2 linked regions of the Alligator mississippiensis genome follow. The protein of the gene in region 2 purifies or fractionates together with the protein of the main gene of each other region. This does not show direct contact. Links are inferred from orthologs where the notes say so. Each region holds a gene or a part of one and is shown on either strand. Other genes may lie near its edges.

Region 1 (6,854 bases), on a different chromosome or scaffold from region 2:
CGGCGGTGCCTTTTCGCAGGGGGTGTACGTGTACCCACTTGCACCCCCTATGCGTTGCCAATGCACAGGGGCTTACACATGTGATGCTGCAGCAATACTAGAGCATTCTAATTAGAATGCAGAGCAGACTCGATTAATCTAATTAGAACGTGTCAGAGCACATGTATGGGCACCCTAGGTCTGTAGCCTCATGATCGGGGCACACTAGAAGAGGAGAGCAGTAGATTCTGGTTCCTACTTTCAGGGTCATTTATTCATCTTTAGACAGTCATTAGATAAAAAGCGGAAATAAACCTGGCAGTTACCTCACAGTAACCTCTTTATGTGCCTAGGCTTTCAGGAAAATAAATCTGAATTAACTTTTCATGTGGATTTGTTAAACTGCATTAAAGTCTGTGTGGTCACTGTTATTCAGAATCAAAGTGACCTTAATATGATTTATTTTACTTCACTTACAAAGTGAACTAAGCTAAATTGAATTAGGGCCACTTTTATATTGAATGAGTGTCTACAAAGAGCTTTAATGCAAAGTTACTATTCCACTTTAAATTTGCACCTTTAGCTAACTTGGATTAACATTTCTGAGTCTCCTGGTGTACATAAGCCCTTACAAGCTCACTTGTTTAAAATGGATGTTAGACTTCATTCAATTCCTATGTGGAAACTCTCATTCAACACTAAATGGCCTGTCTCTCTGCAATGGTGAGTGTTACCACCACAACATAGTCCTTACTTCTGCCTCATAAACTAGGTCTCAGAGGTAATCAAGACACTACTTTACGGCTACCTCTGTAGTGCTTTACTTGAGGAGGTTCATCCGCTCTTAGGTCATGGAGCTTTAAGACAAGCATGAAAGTGAAAAAGAGGTAGGAGGGAGACTGTCTTACCTGACATAATCAGAGAAGTAAACAAAAAAAAGGAAACAGCCCTCTGATGAAGATGGCTCATGTATTTGGAAAAGCAAGTTTTTTTGCTGGTATTGATTACATCTGGGGAATGAACATGAACTATATCAGAAACATACTTTTTTTTTTTTCCTTTTGCTGGTGTAAGGTACATCTACCTAGAAGGGAGGAGGGACCAAAGTGCCATCTTATGAAGAGTGATTTTTCCTTGTATGTGTTATTGAGATACTTATATCTCATATTTGAAATGAAAACCTCCATGATTTAAATTGTCACTTCCCTGGTATAGGGCTTCTGTAAATGTTGGACATAATTTCTTTGCTTTTTTCCAAACAATTTTTAAATTTTTATTTAGTCAATTTTAGTAAGAGCAATCTCTAAATTACTGAAATTCTTTGCCTCAGAGATGCATGGAATTTCTTGATAGCTGAGAAACAGTATTGTAGTGCTGGAAAATGTCAGAGGCACCATGCATTATGAGTGGTGCAGTGAACCATGACAGCCGATGGCTCTGGAGAGTGGCTCATGTGAGACTTGACAAGCTGGAGGAGTGTCTTTGTCTTTATTTTTGGACTTTGTAGCCAATCTACTTTCTTGGGATACAAATTTAAGCAGAGGCCACCACAAGACTTAAAAGAATCTTCCAAGTCTTTGAGTTCACTCTCCTGTTATCAGGGGCAAACATGTAACAATTTTTTCCCAAAAGGAGACCACAGTAGTATCAATTCTGGTCCCTCTAGCACAGGGGTGGGCAAAATATGGCTTGCAGGCCAGATTTGGCCTGCCAAGGGACTTTGTCCACCCCATGGTGGGTCCTTCAGTCCCACCTGGCCCAGGTGCATGGCATGGGCAGCTGGTTCCTCAGCTCCCGAGTGCACAGCGGTGCTGGGGCAGGGGCTGGGCTCTCTTCCTGGCAGCCTTGGCTCCTTCTGACTGCCTGGACCTAGCCCCGCTGCCCAGGCACCCCAGCTTGTCCACTCTGCACCCACTGCTGTTGACAGGATCTGCATGGGCAGGGTGCACAGCCAGGTGGATGGGATGGGGACATGGGGAAGGAGCAGTATTCAGGCGTGGTATGGGCAGGCAAAGCCAGGATCACAGGACAGGACCATAGGGTAGTGACAGCGTGTGGCCAGGACCCGGGGCAGAGCTGTGATCCACTGCCTGCATGGCCCTGTGACGGCTGTGGGTTCCATGGGCAGGGGTGTGTGGGAAGTGGATCGTGGATCTGCCCTGAGCCCCAGCCCTGTGCTGTCATCGCCCCATGGTCCTGGCCCCAGACTCAGCTGCAGCTCCCCATCTACACCCAGCCTCATCCCGTCTGGCTATGCGTCCTGCTTACACAGGTCCCGGATGGTCTCCATGAGCACCTTGGGATCTCTGTACACTGACAGCGCAGGGCTGTGGCCTGGGCAGAGCAACATACACTCCCTTGTACCCCTGCCTGCAGACCTGGCGGCCATCACAGGGGTGGTGTGGGCAATGAATCAAGTGTCTGCCCTGGCCCCAGCCCCAGCCCTGTGTTGTCACTGCTCTGTGATCCCGGCCCCAGCCCTGCTCGCCCATCCCACTCCTGGATGCTGCTCCCTGCCTGCCTGTGGCCCCATCCCAGTAGCCTGGCCAAGTGGGGAGCAGAGTCACTTAGGGAGTTGCATGGGGAGGGAAGGGGGTGCTGACCTGGCCAACAACAGCTCAGCAAAACTCCCTATGTGGCCCTCGGGCCCAAATAATTCCCCACCCCTGCTCTAGCAGGCTACTGTCACAAAGCACCTAACAATAACAATAGCACAACACAATCCCCAAACAAATGAAAACCAAAACTAATAAAATTAAACTTATGTTGTGCCAGAGAAAGAGAGATAGAGAGACAAAGTTGGCACCAATGCTTTGGCCACTGCAATGGTTGGGGGCTTGTTACATAAAATATGCTCAGATGATTCTAAGAAATGGAGCATGATCATTGCCAACCTGACCTGGGGGAAAATCCCTTCCTCACCCCAAGTACCATGTGATTGGTTTATCCCTAAAGAAATGAACAGGACCCAAGAGGCATGTGCTCAAGATGTCTCCTGGTAGCACAAAGAGCACCAGCTCACCCTGGTCAGTCACTCAGCTCTAATTGTGGCTCACCTCAGACATGAACTGGGTTGCTCCAGCATACTACTCCAAAATGTTGCCAACCTCTACATTAGAGGAAGACAAAAAAACCCCAAACAAACCCAAACCCAAATGCATTTACAGGGATAAAAAAAGTCTTCCTGATGCTCTCAGGCAACTAGCAAAAGCCTTGAAGCCTGGGATTGATACAATATAATATAGTGCAACAGGTACTGTGAGAGGGGCAGCGCTAGGAGGAGGCATGTAGGCGGCTATCGCCACCTCAGAATTCACCTTAGCCCCACAATAGCTCCCCCTCCTCTCCAGGCTGTCACCCGCCCGGCTCCTGCCTGCAGTGCAGCCCCTCCAGTTTACTGTCTAGCCCACCTCAGCCCCGCTGGGAAGAGCCTGGCGCTGCCCCTGGTTGTGAGCATCTTTAAGAAGAAACACAAGAATGAGCAGATGGAGTAAGTCTAATTTAAGAAGAGCCATCACAATTCATCTACCCCACCCTTCCTTATCTGCACACCCAAAACTGTGGAGTTTCTTATTATCTCATCACGCTGCTGTGTGAATACTTTCATGTCTTCAGCATGTCATTGAACTGCAAAAACGTTACGTTTGGTCTTCCAAACATCCTCTGCACTGACAAATGGATTTCATTTCATGTTGTAGGGACATTGTAAATTTGTAGTTTTAAGCTGGAATTAAGTGTGCTCGTTTCTTTATTCTTTTCTTCCAGGCTCACTCTTTGAGACTTTGGTCTTTTTCTGAGAAGTGTTGCTCTTTGAAATCGCTATGTAAAGCCTGTGTGTAATATTTCTTTCACTGGAGCTTGGACACTGTGGAAAGCATGGTCCTCATCTTCCCTGGCTCATGGGTGCCAGCTCCAAGCAGACAGTATGTTTCAGGGCAGTGCCATGCTTTCCTCGTCCTGTTCATCTCAGCATTCACTTTTTAATTTTCTGCAGCAACACGCAGCGTTGGGAACCACGCAGGCAACCGGCTGCCTGCAAGCTGTGTGCTGGGGATTGTGGCTGCAAGCGGGGTGTGAATGAGGGGGTGCCTCAGGGAGCTGAGCCCCTCCATAAGGGACAAGCGCCCCCCTGTAAGATTTGAAAACCATAACCTGTGTGGGGTGGGGTCTCCAATTGATTACTCTTTCCAATGAACCCTTTAATTACTTTTTTTTGGCAGACCACCCTTAGAGTCAACATGTAGATCGAACCCTGGCTGTCTGGGGGGGTCAAAATGCAACACGAGAAGGGGGGCAAAAGTGGACAGGCAATGAATATTGAAGCTGCTCCTTTTGTGGGGGTTCAGAGGTGGCTTTGAAGCTCTGACAGAGGGGAATATCTTTGAACACAGGTTAGCAGGAGAGGCGCCATTATCTTCAGGTCAAGGACAAGTGAAGCTCTGAGGGAAGGGAATATTTTTGCACACAGATTAATTAGCAAAGGGGGGGCCATTATCTTCAGGTCAAGGACAACCCAGGTGCCAGCCAGGCAGTTTCCCACTGTGGACAAAGGGCTGCCATGAGGTGACACGTGGGCACCACAATGGGCTGTGGGGAGGGTGATGGTGGAGCAGGAGCCCCCAGCAGGGGCTGCTCCCTTCCCCTCCCCCTCAGGCCCCCACACGGGGAGAAGCCACCAGGCTCCAAACGGCCACGGTGGGCGGGGCCTGGGCGGTGACGTATTTCAAACGGGCCAACGAGCGGGCGCGGAGGGAGGGCGGAGCCGAGCTCAGCCTCCGCCTGGGATTTTAAAGCTCCATCTTGGCCGCGGCGGCAGGATCTGGAGCGCGCTCCGCAGCGAGGAGGCGCAGCGGCCGCCCCCATGTCCCGCAGGAGGAAGGCGGCGGCGGCGGCGGCGGCGGCCGGGGGGAAGCCGCAGGGCAGCAGAGGAGCGGCGGCGGCAGCAGCAGCAGGGGTGTCGGGCGCGGCGGAGAAAGTTGTGTACTCGCGCTCGCAGGTGTCGTTCGCCGGCATCAAGGCGCTGGGCGACGCCATCAAGCTCTTCATGCCCAAGTCCACGGAGTTCATGCGCTCGGACTCAGAGCTGTGGGACTTCCTGTGCAGCCTCAAGCACGAGTTCTCGCCGGTCATCCTGCGCAGCAAGGACGTGTACGGCTACGCCTCGTGCCGCGCCGAGGTGCCCGCGCCCCCGCCGCCGCCGCCGCCCCGCGCCCGCCGCCGCCTCGCCCGGGCCCCGCCGCGCAGGAGGCCGCGCGCCGCGGAGGAGGAGGAGGCGGCGGCGGGGGCCTTCGGGGGCCGCTCTCTGGAGGAGATCTGGGCGGCGGCCACGCCGCGCCCGCCCGCCCTCCCCTGCAGCATCCGCGTGCGGGGCAGCGTGTGGGGCCGGCGGAGCCTGGCGGCGGCGCGGAGACAGGCGCAGCGCATCCTGCGCGTGGACCTGTCGCCCGTGGTGCGGCTCCGCCGCCTGCCCGTGGCGCGGTGCTGAGCGCCGGGACCGGACGGGACGAGCTCCGCGCACCTGTTCACACGGCCCCGCCCGCGCCGCGTCCTGCTGCACTTTAGAGACCCCCCCGAGCCCGGGGCCGCGGCCTGGCGGGGACTTGCCCGAGGAGCCGCTGGCAGCACTGGGATGCGCGCAGGGTGGCTGGACCCGGCTCCTCTGGCTGAAGCTTTTGACCAAGGATGTTTGTTGCCTCAGGAAGCAGGACCCAGGGTGGTGGGGATGGTGCAAAACCTTTCTTTTTCTTTCTCCCCCCCCCTCCCCCCCCCCCCTTTCTTGCCCAGCTTCGAGGCCTGGCTGGGCGCCGCGGACTTGTTATGCGTTTTGTATCCACAATCCTTTCTACTCTTTTATAGCTGACCCCAGGATTTGCTTTTTACAGAGTGCCCAAAGTGGCTTAAAGTGTGCGGCTCTTTTTTTTTTTTGACAGACCTGGGTTTGATTTGGGGGAAGTTGGAGACGCAGTGGTCCTGCCCGGAGAAACAGCCTGCAAAGAGAGGCTTGCTGAGGAGCTTCCAATACCCTCGTTGTGATCTTAGAGGGGCAAAAGGCTTGATTTCTAGACTGTTCTCATTAAAAGCAGAAACAAAAACAAAAAACAAACAAACACAAAAAGCAGCAAACACAAAGAACCATCCAAAGTTGGGGAAGACTGTTGAACATGTAACAAATGGTTTATGTGACTTGCCAGCCACTTTGGCTGCTTATAGAAGCAGGTGGTTAGTTAGAGTGGCTAACACCTAAATGCTACATGATTGAAGTACAATATTTAAAATAAACAGCAACAAAGCTTGATTTATCACCTGGTGTCTTCATAGCTAAATAAAACAATACAGGGTGTCATTTATCTGTCCTCTGCTAGAACTCGTACTGAGGCAGTTCCTTTTCTTTTTCTCTCTCTCCTCTCCCAGGGTAAAATGTGTGATCTCAGATACTTAGTCTATGGCTACAGGCTTGTTTTGCCTGGAGCTCTGTGTTTGGTCATCCTAAAGTACAAGTGGCTGTTTTTTTTGTGGTTGGTTGGTTTGTTTGTTTTGGGAGGGGGCAGGTATTCTTTTAAGGTAGCAGCTTAAACATTGAGATTAAGCTTTTTTTTATTATTATTATTTAATGTATAGTCCTAGATACATGTTGTAATGTTACAGGATTCCAAGTAATTCGTTTCTATGGAATTTATCCTCTAAAGCAAATGAGGTCTATAAAGTTGACATTGGGGAAAAAAGAGAATATGGATCCTTAACTGTAAAAGAGGAAGAAGGCATTGGCTTTGTAACTGTTAAATGATGTCCCCCTGGCTCTGAGAACAGGGCTTTGATCCTGACTTTCCTGGTAGAGTAAATGACCTCATGTACTGTAAACAAGTGTATGATTCAGT
Region 2 (7,862 bases):
TAAAAAATGATAGAGATGAAAGCACAGCAGGATGGTCATAGCTCTGTAACAGTAACCATATTGTTATGTTGGGCAAGGCTATTGTAAATATGACATACAAGTGCATATAATTTCTTGAGAGAAGTTCTTCTTTGGGCTAAATCTCCCCATCCCACCATTCTCTGAAAATGATTCTTCTTCTTGCTCTTATAATTTAAGAATCAAATCTCCTAGACTTCTAAAACAAAACACTTGAAGCAAGTGCATGAGAAAGGTAAGTATTTGGAAATCTTTATCGGACGTAACAGATTTATGTACGTCTCACAGGTACATCAGCAGATCTTCAAACTTTTCTTCTTGACCTTCTTTAAATTCTGTAATGTGCATTTTATACCATATGGCCCACAGAAAAATTGCTTATTCAGTTCAAATTTCTGCATGTTCTGTGGTTGCATGCTGTAATCCACATCTCAACCTACAAAAACACGCAACATTTGAAATCAACAGGAAGAAATGTCTCTAGAACTATCTGACCTCTTCTTCTAGGTCCCATCATTTTACACCAAAACCTGAGCATATTCAAATAAAGCGAACTTGCACTTTTTCATATTCAAAATTCACAGAAGAGACACGTACCTTCTTCAGTATATAATCACTCACCTTTTCATTTTATAAAAGTGAAAGATTATAACATTGAGGTAATATTGTAATAGGGAGGTTAGCTATATACAAGTGTCAGGAAAAAAGGGTCTCTTTCCCCTCCTATGAGTGTTTAGATCTACCACCACATTATTGAAGTTAGGGACTTGGGGAACTGGTATCTACTTGAAAATGTAGAACTTTAGCTTGATTAAGTATTTGTAAGCATTATTGACTGGAATCTGGTTGCAATACTCCTTAGAGTAAGTAAACCACAGCACTTAAAAGATAATGCAAACATTTAAAAGTTTACCTAAAATATAGTCAACTGCACAGTAACAAGCTTAATGGCATTTTTTTCCCACAACAGACAAAATTGTTCCTTTTCCAAAGCACACAGATTTGTTTGTCCATTTTTTTTCCCTTATTGGGTATATTTAACACTAGGCTTATGCACTTCTGTCCTTTGCAAACATGTCCTGTCATTTGTTGAGTGGACATCAGAACTACTGAGACATCCGCCTGCCCTAAATTCCAAGTTTGTGGTCCATCATTTGACAAACGATTCCACCATGAAAACTGTCCAGGTGAAGTAGACATTTGGTAACCTCTACAGTTATGAAACGCAAATTTGTTGTTCAATTAAACAATTTCAGTGGCAACCCTAGCTATACCCCATCACCTTACCTTTCTGTATTGGTATTTAATTTCAGAAATTGCTTGATTTCAGCAGTTTGTTCTAAACTCCTAGTGAAACATTAAGTGCTATTTTTATGTGCAATGGATGATATGGTGTGATGAAAGGAGGCTAAAAAAATTCAGTGTTTTCTGGTAATGGTTAACTATTATTCTAGTTGACAACTGGACAGCTGAAATGGAGTAGAGCCCTCCTTTAAAAAAAATTGAATGCATCTCATTAGATGGCAGATTTTTAAAGCCAAAGTCAATGTCCTTTCTCATAGCCTTACTTTCTGGATCTGAGATTTTAGTCAGAATAATGCTGGGGAGGGGAGATGTGGATGTATCTTTTACATAGAGATGCCAAGTTATAATTTTGAAAAAAAAATATGTTGGTTAAATCCTTAAATATTTTAGGTGTGCATGAACTTACCAATGTAGTTTTATTGGAGGCCATTTTTATTGCAGACTTGCAGAGCTTTTACTAGAAAAATGCATGACAATTAAAAGGAAGTTTACATTACTCAGAGAAAGGCATCTCAATACAAGCATGGTCCTTTTTCCAACCCCCATGTGTTCACTGTATATGACATTCAAGTGTGGATTCATCCAGAACAAAACTAGGTTGTTACTTTGTCTGGTGTAACCCAAGACCACATGGTGAAACTAGTGACATAAAACCTGCACTTGCACCCGTGGTTAAAAAATGTCCTTTTTACAGGACGTTCTGAGGCACAGGGATGTTTCAGAGGAAGCTGAGGACCACCAGGATGCCTTATATGCTTGAACCCAGAATCATAAGAACTCAGATTGGAGCAGTTAACCAGAAGACATAACTGCAAGCATTTGCAAGTTGCAAAAGAGAGATTTTTTGCTGGCAGCAGTTCTGCAATAGTGAAACAAGTAGCCAGAGTCCCCCGGGATCCTTCTATATAACAGTCAAGACACATCCAACCCCAAGGCTGCCACCTGATCTTGAAGTTTGCAAGCATTAGGACTGGGATGCTGACAGGGCCTATGGAGGAGTGAAATATTTAAGCCTAAAGATAAATGTATTGTTTGACTGCACCCAGGCCATCCCCCACCTCCCCTCCCCCCTCGTCCTCCATGTTGGGCCTCAGCCTGGCCACTTCTTCAGGGACCCCCCCCACCCCGAAATTCTAAAACGGCCCCGATTTCACTGAAAAAGGCGATGGATAAAGCTCCAGAGAAGGCCAGAAAATCCCCTTCGACTCAGCCCCGCCGCCCCGGGAGCCCAGGCAGCGCGAGGATCCCGGGCCCTGGCCCCGCGCGGCACAGCCCGGCCCGGCCCGCCCAAGCAGAGGAGGGGAGGGGGAACAAAGGCCCGTTGCCGAGGCCCGGGAGGGGGGGGGCGGGGCTGCGCCACGGGCCTGCGCTGGGTGGGTCCCGGGCGAGCGGGCGCCCCGGGGCGGCCTCACGCAAGGCCGAAGCTCCCCGGCGGCGGCCTCCTCCGGGCCCGCGGGCATCGCCACGTCCCCCATCCCCTCCCCGGCCGCAGCGCGGGCCCCGGCGCCGGCCAGCGCGCTTTGTCTGCCGCACACGGCCGCCCCGTGCCCTGCGGCTCCCCCGCCGGGGCCCCTCCTCGGCCGCTCCTGCCCGCGCCCCGTGGGGGCTGCAGCGGCGCCGAGAGCGGCGGAGCGGGGGACGAGAACGAGAGGAAGGGAGAAGGATACAGACTTCACGGCGGCTCCGCGGCGTCCCCGTCGCCTCCTCGCTCCCTGCGCGCACTGAGCGCAGCGGCATCCGCGGCAGGAGGGAGGGCGGGAGGGCGAGCAGGCGGGAGGCCGGGCGCGAGCGGGGCGGGGCCACGAGCGGAGCGGGGCGGGGCGCTGCGTGCCTGCGTGAGGGGAGTTGCCACCGCCGCTGCTGCTGCGCCGGCGACGGGGCCACAGCGCAGGATATCGCTGCTGCTGCCGCCGCCGCCGCGCGCGCCGGAGCTGCCGCCTTCCCCTCCCCCCAAGTGCCGCGCGGTCGCCAGCGTAGCAGCGGGCCAAGACGTCTCTCCCACGGGAGCCTAGCGCAGCGCCGGGGACCCAACCTCGCCGCGCGCCCAGGCGGAAGAAGATGCCTCGCGGGGACCGGGAGAGCGACTGGGTGAGTCGCCAGCGGGGACGCAACATGGCGGCGGCGGCTCCCGCAGCCACGGCCGGGAGGGAGCGGGGCTGGGCCGGGCAGCACAGGGCGAAGGAACCGGGCTAGGAGAATGGCGCAGGGCGGGAGCACTGAGGGAAGAAATCCGCTCTTAGTGGTTCGCCCTGAGGCGGGCGGACTGGGAAGGGCCGGGCCCGGGAACCGAGGAGTGGGCCGCGAGGGTTTGTCCCCGAGCGGCTTCGGCCCTTCCCAGAAAGCTGGAAGAGGGAGCAGCCTCCGCCGAGCTGAGCCGAGGCGCTTCGGCTCCGGTCGGCCACGCGGCGCCTCACGATTCCCTTTCCGGAAATGGCCGAAGCGGAGCGTGAGCTTGCCGGGTCCCGGACTCGCTCCTTCCGGAAAGAGCCGAACTTCCTCGGCCCAGCGGCCGCCGCCGTTTCGACTTTTTCCGTCAGGCGCCGAAGCAGAAGAGCTCGACGACGACGGACGCTTCGGCTCATTCCGGAGGCGGCCATTGCTCCCGGAGCCGATGTTTTTTTTTCCTTCCTTTTCTGCGGACAGTAAAACACAAAGGGGAGCTCGGTGCCACGGCCCAGTCTCTTCCCCCCTCTCGGGAGCCGCGCGCTTTGGGCAGGGCAGGGCAGGGCAGGCTGGCGTGAGGTGAAAACAGGTTGACCGCGAACCCGAATTTCAAATTGCGTAACGGCTGAGGCAGCCATTACTGGGCCTGTCGCGTGCGCTCGCACCCGGGGCCGCCCGCACCATGAAGAATATGGTACGTGCCTGGCGGCGCGCGGGGCTCGGCCGGGGGGAAGGGGTCGCGGCACCCCCACATCCCCTCCTTCCCCCCCCCCCCCGTGGGTCGCTAGAGCCGGCCCGGGCCTGAGCGACAGTTAGAGGAGGAAAGTTCTGGAAGCGCCGAAGGCGGTTGGGGCTGGCGCGGGGGGAGGGAGGCGGGGGAGGGGCGGGTCGATTGCCGGGACCGTTGAACCGAACGACAGCGGGGGGAGGGCCCGCGTGCCCCTGGCGACTGCCGGCCGCGGTGCCCCGGCTTTTAATGGCGGTAACGAGGCGGAGGGAGAAAATGGCGGCGCGCAGATAGGCTCGTGTGTGAGGAGGGCTAGCGGCTCCGCGCCAGGATGGGGAGGCGGGCCGTGAGCCAGGGCAGCGCCGCGGCCAAGCTGGTGAGAGGCGGCGTTGGGGGGGAGGGGGGCTGCGGTTTCCTCAGCCGGCTGCGGGTGCAGCCGGGCCCCGGAGGGCGGCGCGCGGCTTCTCGAGGGAGGCTTTTCTCCTGCCGCATCGCTTCCCCGGCAGGCGGCGGCTTGTGGGCGCCATTTTCCTTCTCCGCAGCCGAGCGGCCCCGGCTCCCGGCGCTGCCACATGGCTGCCACCTGGAGCGCGATGTGCTCGGGCCCTGGAGGCAGCGCGCTCCGGCGCAGGGGCAGGAGGCGCCGGCTCTGCCCGCGCAGCCGCGCATTGCTCGGAGCGGCCTCTGCGCCGCAGCTCCCGACCGCGCGCCGTTTTGGCGGGCGTTCAGCGCCGGGATGCGGAATCTTCTCCCCCGCCCCTCAAATTTCTAGCCGCCATTTTTTGGTGGCTTTGCTCTTGCAGCAGTTGAGACGAATTTGTTTTATCTTAGTGTACTAGGGCAGAACAAGGAGGCTCCCAGTAACTTGATAAGCTCTTCCCTTGCACAGGATACAGATGCTCAACCGGCTTTTCTTTTGGCATTTTGAAACAGTTTCCTTCCTCTCCCCCCCCCCCATCCAGATTTCATCAGCAAGCAGGTAAAAGTGAGGTGCAGACATTTTGCTTTGCCAAGTGTAAAACTGCAGTTTTCAGTATAGTGGGTTGGTTTAATTCTGACTTGTAAGCTAACATTCACACTCCCTAAAACTCAGGGGAAATAGTCTTAGTCCTAAGGCTCTGTCTTTGCTAAGGCAAAAACATTGTAATGAATGTGTTAAACATCCCAATGCATGCAACATATTTGGTGGCTGTCCAGTAAAGGTAAATCCTCAGAGGAACAAGAAGTAACACACTTAAGCATAAGGCTGAGTAACAAAGATCATTTGTAGGCTAACTAAATTAGAGATGCACAAACTTCCATGAGCCTGAGCTTACCTCATGAAGTGATGTGAGCATGTGCATTTCTGATTTGGTTAGTCTACCCTGCGTTTCTGCTTGACTTCAGAATGACTTGCCTACCTATCTCCCTCTAATTGTACGTTGTCATCAGAGTTCATATCCTACACGAGGCCGACTGCTTGCCTGAGACTTCACTTAAATGCATGTGTATACGCACGCATGCATGCAATGATATATTAAACAGTAATGTGAACCATCATTTAATATGGAGATTAATTATAGTAGTCTTTTCCCTTGGTAATCCCAATGGCTGCCTGAAAGCTTGTCTTACATTCCCCTTCTCTCTCCTCCCTCCCCCCATTATATAGTTGGTCCAGTAAAAGACATCACCAAAACTCTTGCTCCTCACATTTCTTAGACTAGTGGTTCTCATCCTTTTTAGATTCAAGATACCCCAAGGTAAACCAAAAGCGCTCTTGGACAGACTCATGGAACGCCTCAAAAAATGTCAGCTCTATTTTTAAAAGTAGTAATATTCACTACTTTTTTGGTTACTGAAAAATAGAGCAGTTTTATTTGTTGTAAAGAATTTGGAGACACCACAACTATGGATTTCTATTTGAAATCTCTGGGTGTATCTTGTGACTTATGTTTGGAAACCTAACAGTGCTAACATTGTATAGTACCCTTGAAAGGATGTCAAGGCATGCCACGAGGCCACGTACTGTGGTTGAAAATCACTCCCTTAGATCAGCATTTCCCAACCGTGGCACATGGGTGTGGAGCCACACCCCCTGCCCACTGATGCTGTGGACACGGGGAGCATGGCTCCAGCCCAAAATGCCATCCGGCTGGCTGCACACAGCTTCCCCTGTCCCCATCCAGTGTGCTGTTTGTGCTTTTTTTATTCAGGTAAATGTGCTGTGGGGCAAAAAGGTTGGGGGGCACTGCCTTAGGCCATGTGGGGCTACATGCTCCAACCCTCCTTTCCTAGTTGTATTATTCCCATATGGCAATTGCTTATATTGGAGAAAGTAAATTTATTTGTAGTTGTCTTGTAAGGAAGTTGTAGCCTACAAGCAAACCTTACCAAGTGTCCTGCACCACCAATGATCCACAGGCTTGTTTGAGAACCAGTAGTGTAATTTTATTCATTTCACTTTTTTAAGTGACTTAATGCCTAACTTTTTCTAGTAGGTATTGGTTACAGAGTTGAAATTGCTCTGGTTTTGTTTTTTTGTTTTTTTGTTACAGTAACATAAAATACCTATAGAATTAGTCTGTTGGCATGCCAAATGATAGTGATTTGATCTAAGTTTTATTAGTACTTGCTTTAAATTGTCCTCTTCCTTTCTTCAGTTCCATTTAAAGTTTTGTAATGTGAAAGGGTGGTTGGTGAAAAATTCATTAAAATCTACGTGTTTGCAATTATTTTATGTTGTAATAGTGCAGGTATTCTAGTTGACTGTTAGAATTAGGCCTTTAGGCTTTTTTTTCCCAGTGGTTAATGCACTTGGCTTCTTGGGCTAATTTTCCAACTTTTCAAATGCAGAAAATGATGCTGATGTTCTATTAAACTGTTTGAATCTTGATTAAAAAGCATAGTAGAAGATGTATGTGATGCTGTTATTACACTGTTGGCAGATGCAGTATTCATTTTTTCTAAATAGTTTTCTAGGGGTTTATTGGGGCCCATGTTTGCAATACATGATTCAGTTTTTTCAAAAAGTCTGAGTACTACACAACTCAGGCTCTGCAGACAGTTCTAAAGAAGTACAGGGTAAGGCTGTAACTTAGAAAAATGAACAGTGCAATTTCTGCAATCTGAAATTATAGTCTTGGTTTGAAGTCATTATCAAAAGCTGTTTTGGCATTGCTTTCAGTGGTCCTTCTTCCATGTCTCACACTAGTTGAAATCCTGCCTAGGCAGCATCAAAAAGCTTTTATTAGTCTGAATAGTTTATTGGAAAATAAGTTGAAGTGATAATCATTTTAAAGCAGGTTACAAACACATTTATAGACAAAATTGGCAAGTCTCTCTTTAGACTAGTTCTTTTTTATTTTTTTAATTTTTTTTAGGGTTGGAGAGAATAGGTAGGGGAGAACTTGCACCATTTTATTAGTGCTGGATTAGCCCTTCAGGTACATTCCATAAGTAGGGACTTTCCAAAATGTAGGTGGCAGGACAGGTGATTTCATGGTGCTGACTGCCATTTACATGGTCTCTGCGGAGTGGGCTCCCTGAAGCCCCTGATTGGCCAAGGGGCCCCACCCCCTCACTGCTGGTTGGTGGAGAAGGGTAGGGAGGGCCACATGCAACGCAGCCCTCTCAGCCAATCACTGCTAGCTTGGCTGCCCCTTTTTGTTAC

What was found. The genes of interacting proteins can lie anywhere in the genome.
Region 1: the proteins of CBX3 (region 2) and CCDC71L purify together in Homo sapiens (affinity purification with mass spectrometry; 3 studies listed by BioGRID and IntAct, with this or other methods). This does not show direct contact. The link is inferred for Alligator mississippiensis from reciprocal best matches to the Homo sapiens genes CBX3 and CCDC71L.

Annotation. Positions count from the first base shown.
Region 1 is NC_081827.1:27,292,428-27,299,281, reverse strand, and holds CCDC71L (coiled-coil domain-containing protein 71L), read left to right. Parts: upstream 1-4,762; 5' UTR 4,763-4,840; coding exon 4,841-5,464; 3' UTR 5,465-6,278; downstream 6,279-6,854.
Region 2 is NC_081828.1:156,757,962-156,765,823, forward strand, and holds the start of CBX3 (chromobox protein homolog 3), read right to left. Parts: upstream 3,091-7,862; 5' UTR 3,061-3,090; coding exon 2,995-3,060; intron 1,781-2,994; exon of another isoform or gene 1,754-1,780; coding exon of another isoform or gene 1,730-1,753; intron 1-1,729. Other genes in the region: HNRNPA2B1 (heterogeneous nuclear ribonucleoproteins A2/B1), read left to right, coding at 4,545-4,589.